Linked DNA regions of Coturnix japonica. The protein of the gene in region 3 interacts with the protein of the main gene of each other region in a pairwise test. Links are inferred from orthologs where the notes say so. Each region holds a gene or a part of one and is shown on either strand. Other genes may lie near its edges.

Region 1 (4,573 bases), on a different chromosome or scaffold from region 3:
CTCTCCATGTGGGAGCTCAGACTGACGCTTGGACTGTGCCAGCACCATCCTGCTGGGAAACTTTGTGCTCCCACCCCACGGGGCTCCCGCTGCCCCCCAGCCGTGGTGAACGCGGCCTTCTGCTGAAGGGAGTTAATGAGCTGTGCCCGACAGCGGTGGGAACGGGCAGCAGTGGGGCTCCTGACAGCGCTCAGAGGAGCTGGGTGTGGAGGAAGGGGGAAGAGCAATAGGGTGAGAGAGATGGACCAGAAAACAATATCCACTTCATTAGCCAGGTGGCTCCGAATGTGTGGAAATAGGACAAAGTCTAGGTCACCCACTGTGACAGAACATTATTATCATGCGATGCCATGAAGCCGTGCAAAGACCAAGTCAAAGCTCACTGGCCCACTTGAAAGGGACAGGGGAGCTGCCCCGGCCCGAGCTGTTCCCAGGCTGCGGTCCCACGCACGGCCCTGTGGCCACGACCAGCAGCAGTGCGGGGTCAGCTGCGTCTGAGCCCATGTCCCAGTGATGGGAGTGCGGCTGTCAGGGACCCAGCAGGCAGATGTGTGGGTTTGAGAGCAGGGCAGAGGGAAAGCTCTTGGCCAGGCTGCTGGGAGCAGGGCTGGGTCTTAGGCTGGAGCCCTGGGGGCTTTTCTGTCCTTTCTTCTGTACACTGTGCTCATGCAAAACCTGAACCATCACACACCTGTCTGCCGGATCCCAGCCAGGCATGCAGGGAGGTTTCCTGCTCCCTCAACACACTGCCCCACATTTTCCCGGTGGGCTCAGTGAGGGCAGAGAGTCCTGCCCCAAATGGGCTCCTACAGTGCTCAGGGTCTGCCAGGCGCTGGTGGCTCTTGGGACATTTTAGGGCTCCTGGAGCCCTCGAGGTGGGCAGGCAGCGATGGCTCCAGGGATGCTATGACAGTCTGAACCTGGGCTGAGTGGTGGGCATGGAGTGGCCATCTCAGAAAGCACTGCCACCCATTGCCAGGGCATGGCTGGAGGGCATTGGGCAGTGCAGCTTGCTGGGATGGGAGGTGGTGGGTGAAGGGTTTGGATATCGTATTTCCCTACGTTGTGTTCAGTGATGTGCTGGTGCCTCTCGTATCTCGCCTGCTTTGGTTCGGGTCAATTTGCTGATCTTTTGTGACTCAGTGCGTTCACAGCAGGAGGAGAAGCTCTTTTTGTTCAGGTCCCCGATGCCTTCCGCTGCCCCCACCCCCGCGGCTATCGGGGCTCGAAGGGCACTCCGCATTCCCGAGCAGCGCTACCCCGCAGAGTCCCATTCGCCGCATTGCCACGACTCCTCCACGGAGCAGTGCCCGACCCCGCGACGGGACCCCTACGGGACCCTGCCTGAGGACCCTCGGACCCGGCCCCGCGCAGCCCCACGGTTTTATACAGCGGGGCTCAGCACTGAGCGCCGGGGCTCAGCCCCGAGGCAGCGCCCGGCTCCGCGCTGTGCCGCTCCGAGCGGCCCCCGACGGCACTTCGCGCTCCGCGCCGGGGCCGGGCCGCTCCCCCGGAGCGCCGCCACCGCTCGGGGCCGGGCCGGGCCGAACCGAACCCCGCTTCGCCGCTGCCCCGAACGCTCCGCGCCGCTCCTCGGGGCCTCACGGCGGCCGCGGGCAAAGTCCGCCCCAGCGCGCCCGATAAGGGCCGGGCGGGGGCCGGGCCGTGGCGGGCGGGGACGCGGGGTTCGCTCCCGGGGGAGAGGCTCTCTCGGAGCTGATTTGCATAAGGTATAATGCCTAATAGAGGCGGTCATGGCTAGGTAGAGGGCGGCCCGCGCCCCGCACAGCCTGCCAGCCGGGGCGGAGCGGCAGGTGCCGGAGGGAGGCGGGCCGGGCCGGGCCGAGCGCGGGGAGACCCGGGACCATGGTGTCCCAGCTGAGCGCCCTGCAGCGGGAGCTCCTGGGCGCCCTGCTCAGCTCCGGGGCCACCAAGGAGGGGCTGATCCGCGCCCTGGAGGACATGGTGCCCGCCGCCGGCTTCGGCGTCAAACTGGAGAGCCTGCCGCTGTCCCCCGGCGGGCCGCCCGACGGCAAGCCCGGCTTCGTGCCGCTGGCCAACGGGCACGGCAAGGGCAAGCTGTCCGGCGACGAGGGCTCGGAGGACGGCGACGACTTCGACACGCCGCAGATTCTCCGCGAGCTGCAGGCGCTCAACACCGAGGAGGCCGTGGAGCAGCGGGCAGAAGTGGACAGGATGATCAGGTAACCGGCGGAGCGCTTCGCTCCCGCGGCCCCGTGCTCCGCTCCGGGGTTCGCTCCCGAGGCGCCCGTCCCGGCAGGGCGCTGCCGCCGCCCCCTCTCTCGCACCGAGAGCGGCGCGGTGCCGGGCGGTGCCGCCGCCCCGTCGGGTGTTCGTCGCCCTCCGCGGTGGAGGGGTCAGGGGCGCACGGGCTCGCGGCCGCCCGGGGCTCGGCTCCGTCCTCCCTCCGCGCCGGGAGATAAAACATAAACTGCAGCACGTGGAGCTCGGAGTGTTATTAATTTATTTCTATAAATCATCAACAGAAAGATACACAAAGAGCCGCGATTAGAGGCGGGTTATTCATTGCCGGAGTTGTAAACCAGGCGGGGAGGGGGAACGAGGAAACCCCCAAACGCGGCGGTTCGGGTCCCGGGGGATGCGGTTCCGCGCCCCGCTCTGGCCGAGCCCGTTCGCTCCGCGCCGTGCGGGGCCGCGCAGAGCCGGGCCGGGCCGTCATGGAGCGGCGGAGCAGCCCTGCGCTCGTCGGGGGCGATTCCCCGCAAGTCCCGGTGCCCGCAGCGGGGCTCCGCTCCCAATACACGGAGGCGGATTCTGCGTGGGAGATCCCCGCGTGTCCCCAGCCCCGTTCGTGCCCGTCCGTGCGGCCGGGCAGCCCAGACACATCGGCGGCAGCGCTGGGGCTCGGATGGGACGCTCGGGAGCGGGAGGGGACACCGGTGCGGGCCGCCACCCGCGCGCCGGGCGCTGCCGCCGTCGCTCTGCCCCGTTCCCTGCCGCTGCGCCCCCGGGGGTGCGTGAGGGCTGTGCCCGCGTCGCAGTTCTCCCACAGGTGTTTCTGTGCAAAGTTTGCCTTCGGTGCAAACAAGAGCAGGCACATGTCCCTGAGGAGCCTTCTGCAAAGAGCTTCTGTTTGCTCTACGAGAGCCCTTTGTACTTGGAGAAAGGCGGCCGGGGCAGGAGCGACGGGAGCCGTCGATCTCTGCCCCTCCGTGCGGCTGAGCCCCCTCCGCTACCACCCCGCGACCCCCGGCTCCGCTCCGACGCTGCCCACGCGGCCGCAGAGGTGCGCGGCCCCGACCTGTGCCGCGCTGCCCCGTGGGCAGCTCCGTGGGCCCCAAAGGGCTCCGCGCTGGGGGAGCTCTGACCCGCGCTGTGCCCCGCTGTGTGCGCAGGGAGATGCAGATTAGATAGATCCCCGATGGAGGGAGCCGGCTTTATAATCCATCTGTATAAATTCTTGGCATTTTTCTCGGAGGATGTGGAGCTTATTTACCTGTTTCCAAGGCTGACCCAGAGGGCGAGCGGGTGGGGGCCTGGGGGACAGGGATGGGCGCTGCCCCCCTCCCCCCTCCCCGGGCAGTGCTGCCCACACTCGGCCGTACTAACGCGGCGCTCAGCTCGGTGCCAGTGGCCGCGCGGGGCGGAGAAGGGCCGCGGGGTGAGAGCTGTGAGCTGGTTTGCAGTGCCGCACAGCGCACCTGGGGCATTGCGCCTTTATTTCTTCCTGCGTGTAAAATTCATCCCCATGGAGGTTTGGGGACAGAACCCCCACATTGGTTTGTGCCGAGTTGTTGAATGGAAATGTTTTCCTCTCTGGCTTTTCAGGTTCACCAAAAAGAGAGAGAAAAAAAATAAATAAATAAAAAAGAGAAGAGGTGAACAAACACTCAAACGTTTCATTTTGGGTCAAGTCCAAACATTTTGTTTAACATGAAACAAAATGTTTGGGTTTGGTTTCAGGCTGTTTAACCCTTCTGAATACGGTCAAGTTGATTTGTAAAGAAAATCGTTGCTCAGAAATTCAGAGCTGAGGGGTTGTTTGCAAAGCACAGGAACGGAGCGCTTTGGAAATGCTGAAGTTAAAAATCATTCCAATATTAAAGTGAAGGGATATGTGAGGACTTCTGGACTCATTCCCACTTTGTTTGTTGGTTGGTTTGTTTGTTTGTTTGTTTTCCCCAGCCCAAATACTGGGAATAAAACTCCATTTCAATTCCGAAATCACATCTGTAACCCAAAGTCACTTGTTTTCATGGTGTTCACTGGAGTGTTGGCTCCAGGCTCCGGCAAAGCGATGCCCTTGTGTTAGCCAGGCTGCTGTCAGGACAAGCTCTGTTCCACCAACTCATTAGGACCCAGTAATTATTGAACAGGGGCAGGATGAAGCCCCGCTCCCACAGCAGTGCGCTCCCTTCACCCGGGCTCGGGGCGCACGGCTCCATCCCCGCAGTGGGTACCCCGGCTGTGGGCACTCCTTGGGAACTGAGCAATTTTGTTTCCTTGCTGCATTCGAGACAAAAAGTAAGAAACCTTTTTGTTGGGCATTTCCATCTTGACAGGATGAAGGATCCAAAATAATGAATGAATT
Region 2 (4,725 bases), on a different chromosome or scaffold from region 3:
AGTAACTAAGAGAACCACTTCTCTGCCTTTCTTTCACCAATGGTAACGTTCCCACCATGCTCACAGACCCATACAAGCTTGCTCTGCTAGCATTTCTGTCATAGAAATAGTAAGACTTCTTTCCCTTTGTGCTCCTTGAAGTCACACTGGGCTGCCTTTACCTTAGCCCATTACTGCGTTATTCCATCAGGAACACTTAAGGATGGGTATTACTCAGCACATGAAAACAAAGGTAACAGTCGTATTGATTCAAGAATTCAGGCTTTGGGAGTCTATTATCTGATCTCTATTCTGTTCACAAGGACCCCGCTGTCTATTATTTGGGTTTTTCCCTGGTATAGTAAGGAGAATAAAGACTAATAAGTCTAACTAATAAGAAAATCCTACTGTATACCCACTTATACTTTCATGCAGCAGTTGTCAGTCTTAAGTAATCCACAGTTCAATGACTCTATTACCTGCAGCAGAGAAAGATTACGTTGGAACAGCTAATGGAGGAAGACTGGAGGAAGTGGGCACATCCTTACCTAAAATGGCCTAAGCTGCCTGTACTTCAGGAGAAATGAAGAAAATCATAACTGAAAAACATAGAACTTGTATTAAGGTGTACATACAACAGTGCAAAGCATTCCAGCATGTTTAAAGAGTCTTTATTACGTTTGCTATTAAAATAAAATAGAAATCAGACCGTGTGATTACTAACTGATATGTTTCTCAAATGTGCATCTAAATCGATTTGTTAATAAAACATTCATGATCCTGCTGTGACTTCTGTCCAGTTTAGTGTAGTAGAGCTGCTCATGTCTTAGCACCAAAGCACCGAATTTAAGGAAAAAGGAAAAGAAAACAATTTTGCAGCAAGAAATTCAAAAACAGACACTGGAAACAAGAGAAGAATGAGCAAAATCATTCCATGTTTCCACACTTCAAGAGCTGTCCCTTCCACAACCACCACGATTACAGCAGTCTGAGTAATTTAAGAACCAAGTCACGGCCCAGCAAATTGTTGCAATTAAGGAAATCAACACATTCTAAACACTGGTAATAAATGAAAATGAGTGTAGCAAAACAAACTCCTTTTCTTTCAAATGCTCATTCTCAATACAAAATCTGTGAGGTATAATTTAGTTACAGGAGTATGTTGTTTGGGTTGTGGCACTCTACTATTTACTTTCTGCTCTGCTACTAGAACTCAAATCCAGCCTCAAAGCTTTGCTGCTTCCCACCTTGTCCTTTGCTATCCTTAATACCTCACACCTCCCAGCAGCATGTTATGGAAATGGTAAAAACCTGAGAAATACCATGTTGCAATCTGTTGTGTCAGTGCATAAAATAGGAGTGCTAGGTGATATATGGCAGCAGCCTCCTCCCTATTTCCCCAGGTCCATGGTCTGATGGCTCATAATTTGGAACCCTGAAGAAACTTTACAAAGATCACTAGTTTTCCTGCTCCAGAGAACCTGAAATACTGAACAGAGCCTCAGACCATTCACTAACACAGACTGGTGGGTTACAGTGAAGATAAAGGTGATGATGGAGCTGTTTAAAGAACACTTCTTTCTTCCTTGTTTTCTTTGTTGTTTATGTACCTATAGTTTATAATGGACAGCTCTCTAGGTTTGCTCTTTAGATTAAAGTGATTGAGTAGACTTACCTCCTTCCCAGTGTTTGAATAGATTCCATACTCAGCTCAGTGTTCTCCACGTGGCATCCAGCCGTGGCATTCGGTGAGGTCCCAGCCTACAAACAGACGTTCATTTCTGTTTTCACAGTCTTCAAATCTCACTGGCTTCAAGACAGGCTGTTCTAAAAGCCTCCGCAGCTGCAGGTCTGCAGGGTGCACAGAATCAAGGCAGAAGGCTTCTGGGTGCATAAGGAATCCTTGAAACCACACAATATACACAGATCATTTGTTGCTATGTTTTCTTCTCTTTACAGTTCCCTTGGCAGACTGATGATTGTGTGTGAACTCAGGGCTGTGCATCCCCCACCCCCAAAGCATACAACAAGCACATACAGTCACAGAACTCAGACCAGGCAACCTTTCAAATAAGAACCATGATGACAGTGTCCATCCTAGTTTAAGAAATCCTCATACCACAGGAAAAGACAGAATCTTCTGTCATTCATTGCTTGGTGCCCACAGTCTGTTGTCCTCGCTCATAAAATCCTTGAATTATAAGGATGCATCGTGAATAAACTAGGTATTGTGACTGGAAGCTGTACTTGCAATGTACAGTTACTATTGGCCAGTATTGTTGGCATGTCTGCTAGGGTGAGGTGGGGATGAGGAAAATTGTAATGGGGAGTAAAATGCACACAAATTGCATCAAAGCATCAATAGGAGAACCTCAAATCTCACCACTTCTTAAATGCTCTTTTTGCATTACAATAAATGTGGATCTTTAGAAACAGCTCTGGTAGGAAGGTCAGCCCAGCCGCCCAAGCACAGTTTGCTGGGCCTAGAAGAGGGGGTCTGATCTGAAAAAAAAAACTCTTGTCCTTCAGCTGCTGATTTGGCCCCTTGTCACAGGCACCACGAGAGCATGGATAATGCTGCCCATAAAGGAAAAAGAGGGGCCCAGGCCATCCAGCAGCACTGTGTTGGAATATCAGTTGCTTTTGAGACACTTCTAGTAGGCTCCCCCTCGCTTGGGCTTGATGGAAGCAATATAAAACAAGGCAAGTGGCTGCCCATAGGAAACTTCCATTAAAACAACAGTTTTAAGTCCTTCTGTTGATCACATAAGTAGGAACTATTTACAAGATGCTCATGCACCATTAAGTTCACACCAAGTTATTTCCTAATTCAGCCATTTGAAATGGGAAGATTCCCTGAGAACTGCCCGAAAGTACTGCAGTGAAGTTACAGAGCATGTTTTCAGGATTCAAACAACAGGTGGGAGTAGAACATTAGAGCAGGGCTGGTATCAAGGCACAGGTGATAAACGGGAGCCAAAGCTGCCCAGAGCACTTCTCAGAAGCAAGGCAGCTGCAGATAGGGACTCTCAGCATGTACCAGCACCCAGGGCTAGTCCTTACCATGTGCTTGAATCACAAGCTCAATGGTGCGAGTAATAGCTGAATTTTGTGCATACACAGCTTTTTCTCATCAATTCAGCAATAAATGTAGCAAGTTCTAATGGAGGTGTTGATGTTTGCATCTTAAGATGCCCAGCAAGCCAAAGGCAGAAGCAAAAAGATCATTTAAGACTCAATGCTCTTCCATACAAGTCAACAGGAGCTCCAGAACATCCTGTGGGTCTTCGGAACACCTCCTACCAACCCAGGGGGGTCACTTGTCTCTACTGGAGGGCTGCATGAAGGCAATCCAAGCTGCCAAGGCAGTATTTTTGCAGCTCAAAGCCCTCAGCCCACCACGGCCAGAGCTCAGAGTAGGCTCTGCAACCTTCCAACACCGGTGAACGCAACTCTTCCTTGTAGGTGCTCTACCTCTTCCTTCTCTACAATGAATAGGGCCAAAAAGCAAGCCTTGTTTTCCCACTCCCATTCTCCTAGTATTCCTTCCATAGCTTACTTGTCCGTGCTGGCAGACCTCCTATCCCTTCATTTTCCTCTCTCTGCTTCCCTCCCTTTCCCCCTCCCCCTGCTTTCTCTCCCTCTGCACTTTGTGAACTGCTGCTGCAGTGCTGAAGTCCAAAGTTCAGTAACTTGCTAAGCACACAGATAAATATGAACCTTGGAGAATTTACCAATGTAAACAGATAGCCAAGGGTCCCTTTATCAGCACTGGCTCAGGACAGTCGTGGGGGGTCTGAAGTGGCTCAATTTTGTATTTTGTTTTTTTTGGGGGGGCGTAAAGGCGGGAGGCTGCGCTGTGCCCGCTGCTGACAGTCGGGCGTGTTACCTCGGGAACATGGTGTAGGGAAGCTGGAAGCAGGATAACGTGGAACTCAAGCCCAAGAAACACCAGCCTGAAGACCATGGTCTCGAAGCTGAGCCATCTTCAAGTGGAGCTGCTGGGAGCGCTGCTGGAGTCAGGGCTAACCAAGGAGACCCTGATCAAGGCACTGAGCGAAGCGGAACCCTACATGCTCCAGAGTGAAAGTCAGCATGCTATCAATGCCCTGCAGACAGAGAAAGGGGAGTCCTGCCCCGAAATCCCCAATCTCCCCAATGGAATGGGGGAAACCAGGTTATCGGAAGATGAAACCTCTGATGATGGAGAGGAATTTACCCCTCCGATAATGAAGGAGCTGGAAAACTTGAGCCCTGAGGAGGCTGCTCACCAGAAGGCTGTGGTGGAAAGACTATTACAGTAAGGAAAGATTTGCTGCTCTTCTTTGCTGCTCTTTCTTGCATTCTCCCGCTAAGTCTCCTTCCCTTACCCCCTCTGCTCCGCGTACTCACAACTGATCTAGCTGCAGAGTTCCCATCCATGCCTGACTATCCCCCAGAACACTCCCCGTATTCTTACAGATGCTCAAACTTTCTCTTTCAATCTCACTTCAAATGCATAAAGGGAGCCACAGAGCCTGGTTATGAGTTTGATACACTTGTATCATCGGGCCTGGGAACAGTTTATGGGCTGCATAAATTGCATCTCTGACTAAACATTAGTTCCTGACATTTATACCTTTATAGGATTCCAATTTTCAGTCATCAAGGAAAGAAAAAAACTACTATCTGGTCACACTCTTAACAGGTATCGTTTTAGACAGTGAATGTACGGTCAAGTGAAGCTGTGAAGTTTTCCTGCTAATT
Region 3 (4,396 bases):
CATGGATGCCAACTGAAGGAGCTTCCACAGCCAGCTGGATTTTGTTAAAAAGGTACAGACAACATAATAAACATAGATTAGTGATGTGAGATCTCCCTCCACAAATGCAGAAACACCTTGGGTATGTTACAGCAATGCACACAAATTAAGCTGACACTGACCCAGCCTCAAATAAGCACAGCTTTAAATTAGGCAAAAAGAGAGGGGGAAAAGAGCAGAAATCTCTGCCCTGTGACAGGCATGGTCCCATCACAGGGCTGCAAAATGCTCTGAACAAACACCTTACCCAACAGAGCTCGGTTAATCATTAAAAGCAAATCTAGAGTCCGTCCCATCCGAAAGAAATGAAAGCAGCCAGGCAAAGTATCTCCCAGCCCCGTTTTCACACGTACACAGAGGAAAATCACAACTGCCCTGTTGACACTTCTCAGCAGAAACATGTGAGATCACTCTGGCAGAAAGATGCACACGGCTGGCAGTTAAGGGCTGATTTATACCCTCTGAGAGAAAATAGCATTATAAGGGAGCTGTGTAATCAGTAGATACACTGTAATTAGTGTATCCATGATTTTCCACTTTGCTACATCATTGCTTCCTTAACCTGCCCTTGCCACTGTACGCAGGGGCCGCAATGAGGCAAGCACCATTCTTGCAACCCAAACCACTGCCCAGAGAACATTCTGCTGGCCTTTTTCAACCTTGCACACAATGCCAGCTCCTGGTTTCACTGCTGGAAGCTGTGCAGCACTCCTCCTCCTGTATTCCACATCAAAACTTCCAGCTTCAGATTTACCAACAGGTACTGATCTACTCAGGAACTGAGCTGCCTTCCAAGCCCCCTCCCCCCACACATAGGCACAGAACAGAATAGATGCTCGTTTTTCCTTCTTGTTATCACAGTAAGTAAACTTACAATGGACAACAAAGGAAGTACGTGCTTTCCTCTAACAGGTCTGCCGGAGAAACAAATTGTCTCTGTGGCATTCAGGGATTCTAAAAGCAAGATGTGCGTGAGCACACAGAATCCTTAGAGTTAGAAGGGACTTCTGACGGCCATTTAAGTTCAACTCCCCTGCAATGCACAGGGACACCACAGCTCGATCAGGTTGCCCAGGGCCTGGTCCAGCCTCACTCTGAAAGTCTCCAGGGACTGGGCATCAACCACATCCCCACGCAACCCGTGCCAGTGCCTCAGCATCCTCTCTGCGGAGCTCGAGGGGCCCCCTGCGACAACCCCGGTCCAGGGAGACGCGTGGGGCCGAGGGCCGCGGCCGTCGTGGGTGGACCCGACCCCTCGCCACGCCTCCCGCAGCCCCGCCACGCCGCCCGCCCCACCGCCCGCACAGCGCCCGGCCCGCACCGCCGCGGAGGACACGAACTGCCGCGGGCCATGGTAAGTGGGCAGCGGGCAGCGCGGCCGCCGCCCCGAGGGCGAGGACGGGGAAGGAGGGCTAAGGCGGCGGCTCCGGCGATCGAGGAGAGGGGCGGGAGGAGAGGGAGGAAGGAGCGGAGCCGGGCGGTGAGGTTAATAAGTAACGCGGGCAGCTCTGCTGGTCGCCGCCGGCTTACCGGTGTGCTGGGGGACGGAAGGAAAAGCTGCGGCGCGCCGAGCGTGGCCCTGCCGAAAACCTGCCGTGCACGCGTGGCCCCGCTCGTGCTGCTCCGGCTGCACAGCCCACGAGGGGCCTCGTCACTGCCTGCTCGTGCCAGGGCCGAGCCCTCTGCCTAACGCAGGTGGCACAACACCCTTACGGGGACGACGATGTTAGGGCAGGGAGGGTCGGTTTGTGGCCGGACAGCCCTGAGGGGTGAGCTCTCCCCATTTCCCATGCTTAGGTCCTTAGCCTGTGTTGCACAACGCTGTCCTGCTGGCAAAAAAACAAACAACAACCAAACAATGCCTCCATGGTGGAGAGCCAGCAGAAGAGAACAGAATAATTGCATTACCCCTAGTGCAAACCATGTGTTTTATAAGAGTGAGCACGCACGAAGGCATGGACGTGGCCTACCAAAGCAGCGTCCTGAACGGGGACAGCAGCAGTGCCCGGCCCCACGTTGCTCAGTTGCTAAGCCACCCGACCGCCTTACCACGTCACCGCCAGGGCCGAGGGTTTATTGCCCTGAGCAGTGTTTGCTCGCTGCCTCGAAAGGTGGAGCTCTGGAGGGGGTGCAAGCCTAAATGTGGCACAAAGCAAAGGACGGCGTCGGGGGCTGGCAGAGTGGAAGGCTGTCAGTAAATGTAGGAGGAGAGCACGCTGTTGCACGGCTGGCATCCATCACACACAGGTGGCTCGGTCTTCCTTAGGTGCAAAACCAAGGAAGAGCCTACAAAAGCAGCATCAGTTCCTCGGTTGTCCTGTGCTTCACTGACTGCAGTCCTTAGGACTCTTTGCTTGGGTATATGGATGCTCAGAAAGAGCAGACTGCATTGGTTGAGACTAACATCTAACTTGCCAGACTTTGTCCTTCAGCACAAAGGAAAACTAATTGCAAAAACATGTTGGTCTTTGCTAGTGAGAAGAAACAGTTCTCATCCATTCAGAAAGAATTCAACTGCTAGAATAGCATCTTCCACATAGATCAGCACCCATCCCCAACTCAACACCACCCTCCCCACTGAGCCAGCAGACACCCAAAGAACCCTCTGCTTCAGTTTCATCTTTGCCTCATACACAAGCTGAAGCCAAGAACTGGAGCTTTTTTCTCCCATTTAAGACCAAATAACAACAGCTGTGCCAGAGAGTGGAAGACAATACTAATTCACAGTCCCTCCCTCTGCCCTTTGTTACTCCCAGACAAACAGCCTCTTAAAATCCATCATAGCATCGGGGAGACTGAAAGGAGCTGAATTCCAATGAAGTGTGACTCACCTGTGATTCATGCTGCATTTCTTCTCCTCTAGAGAAGGTTTCCAGCACAACTGCCCTGCAAATAAACCTCCTGCTTCCAGAGGGTACCTCACAAACTGCAAAAGCAAGCAGGTCTTAGTTCTGGAAGTCATTACAGGTTCCTCCCAACCCCACCCCACAGAAAACTGAATTGTGCATTTTGGAAGCTTAACCACACACAGACACCATTTCTTGGTACTGCAGGCTATAATGAAAACATACAGCAGTAAGGTGTCCCAGGAGGCTCTATTTGTTAGGTGGTGCAGATCAGAAGACAGACTGGGCTTCACTTGACCTAGGTATGTGCCAAAAGGTACCCAAGTTGGGGAGCAGAGGACAGCACTGATATCCCCCCATCCTTAGCATCCCGCAGTTCAGGGCTGCACATGCATTCCATGCCTCGCAACCACTTTGACCTTCAACTCCACAATCCATGGGTTTGCCTCATTTCTTTGCATATCTGCTTCCTCCTACCTCTGCCACGCTGATCTGCTTCTCTTCCTTTCCTTGGTGCCAGGCCGGTAAAGCCCACAGGTTGAATGCAGAGGAGAGGGAGCAGCTGCTGCCAAACCTGAGAGCCGTGGGGTGGAACGAGGTGGAAGGAAGAGATGCCATCTTCAAAGAGTTCCACTTCAAGGACTTCAATCGGGTATGAGCATTGGTGATACCAAGTTTGACAGTTTTACAGAGCAGAGAGTCCCACCTGCATGGCTCAGCCATAGAAACCCCTCTTTTTTCTAAAACGTGATAGCTCAGCAAGATAATCTACCCAAGACACCAAAGTCCTCAATTCATCACACAGTTTGTCTGGGAAAAAGTTCCTAAAGAAGACCCATAGAAAAGCCCAACAGGGATACAGAACATCCATGTCTTGCCATTTGCCTAGGTCCCTACAGACACAGGGTACAAAATTAATAGTATAGGGGTCAAATAGCAATATAGCACAGGGTAAGCAGCTCACAGCTAACTTTTCTTTTTATTCCACCGAGCAGGCCTTTGGCTTCATGACCAGAGTGGCTCTACAAGCAGAAAAACTGGATCACCACCCTGAATGGTTCAACGTGTACAATAAGGTAAGAAGCATGGATGGCAAGAACAATCAGAGCTCTTCAGGGAGCTGAACCCATTTGTCAGGCATAATGCTGCACTCTCAGCAGCAAGTCCTGGTCAGATCTGCAGAACTTCTTCCCTTGGATGCTGTTCCTTTGGCATACCACAGACAGCCTGTAGCTATGACTGACAAGCCCTCACCTCCTCCTTTTTTTCTGCCCAGCTGGGCAGTAGCTATGGGTGCACTAGCACCAGTTGCTTTTTTAGGTCAGTACCAGAAGTAGCAGCAGTGGGGGAACCTGCTCCTGTTCTGTCAGCCAGCAGCACTCTTTCTTTGTCTGGTTTAGGTTCACATCACCTTGAGCACCCATGAATGCACAGGTTTATCCGAGAGAGACATCAACTTGGCCAGCTTCATCGAGCAGGTTGCAGCTTCTCTCTCCTGACCAGAGAGAGAC

What was found.
Region 1: the proteins of PCBD1 (region 3) and HNF1B interact in binary tests that used the Homo sapiens proteins (3 or more experiments, as listed by UniProt). The link is inferred for Coturnix japonica from reciprocal best matches to the Homo sapiens genes PCBD1 and HNF1B.
Region 2: the proteins of PCBD1 (region 3) and HNF1A interact in binary tests that used the Homo sapiens proteins (3 or more experiments, as listed by UniProt). The link is inferred for Coturnix japonica from reciprocal best matches to the Homo sapiens genes PCBD1 and HNF1A.

What each region holds. Positions count from the first base shown.
Region 1 is NC_029534.1:7,401,223-7,405,795, reverse strand, and holds the start of HNF1B (hepatocyte nuclear factor 1-beta), read left to right. Parts: upstream 1-1,704; 5' UTR 1,705-1,866; coding exon 1,867-2,204; intron 2,205-4,573. UniProt on the Homo sapiens protein: Transcription factor that binds to the inverted palindrome 5'-GTTAATNATTAAC-3'. Binds to the FPC element in the cAMP regulatory unit of the PLAU gene. Transcriptional activity is increased by coactivator PCBD1.
Region 2 is NC_029530.1:8,078,444-8,083,168, reverse strand, and holds the start of HNF1A (hepatocyte nuclear factor 1-alpha), read left to right. Parts: upstream 1-1,879; 5' UTR 1,880-3,944; coding exon 3,945-4,279; intron 4,280-4,725. Other genes in the region: SPPL3 (signal peptide peptidase-like 3), read right to left, coding at 1,655-1,740. UniProt on the Homo sapiens protein: Transcriptional activator that regulates the tissue specific expression of multiple genes, especially in pancreatic islet cells and in liver. Binds to the inverted palindrome 5'-GTTAATNATTAAC-3'.
Region 3 is NC_029521.1:9,422,185-9,426,580, forward strand, and holds the start of PCBD1 (pterin-4-alpha-carbinolamine dehydratase), read left to right. Parts: upstream 1-1,267; 5' UTR 1,268-1,390; coding exon 1,391-1,393; intron 1,394-1,569; exon of another isoform or gene 1,570-2,459; intron 2,460-3,405; coding exon 3,406-3,537; intron 3,538-3,880; coding exon 3,881-3,961; intron 3,962-4,285; coding exon 4,286-4,384; 3' UTR 4,385-4,396. UniProt on the Homo sapiens protein: Involved in tetrahydrobiopterin biosynthesis. Seems to both prevent the formation of 7-pterins and accelerate the formation of quinonoid-BH2. Coactivator for HNF1A-dependent transcription.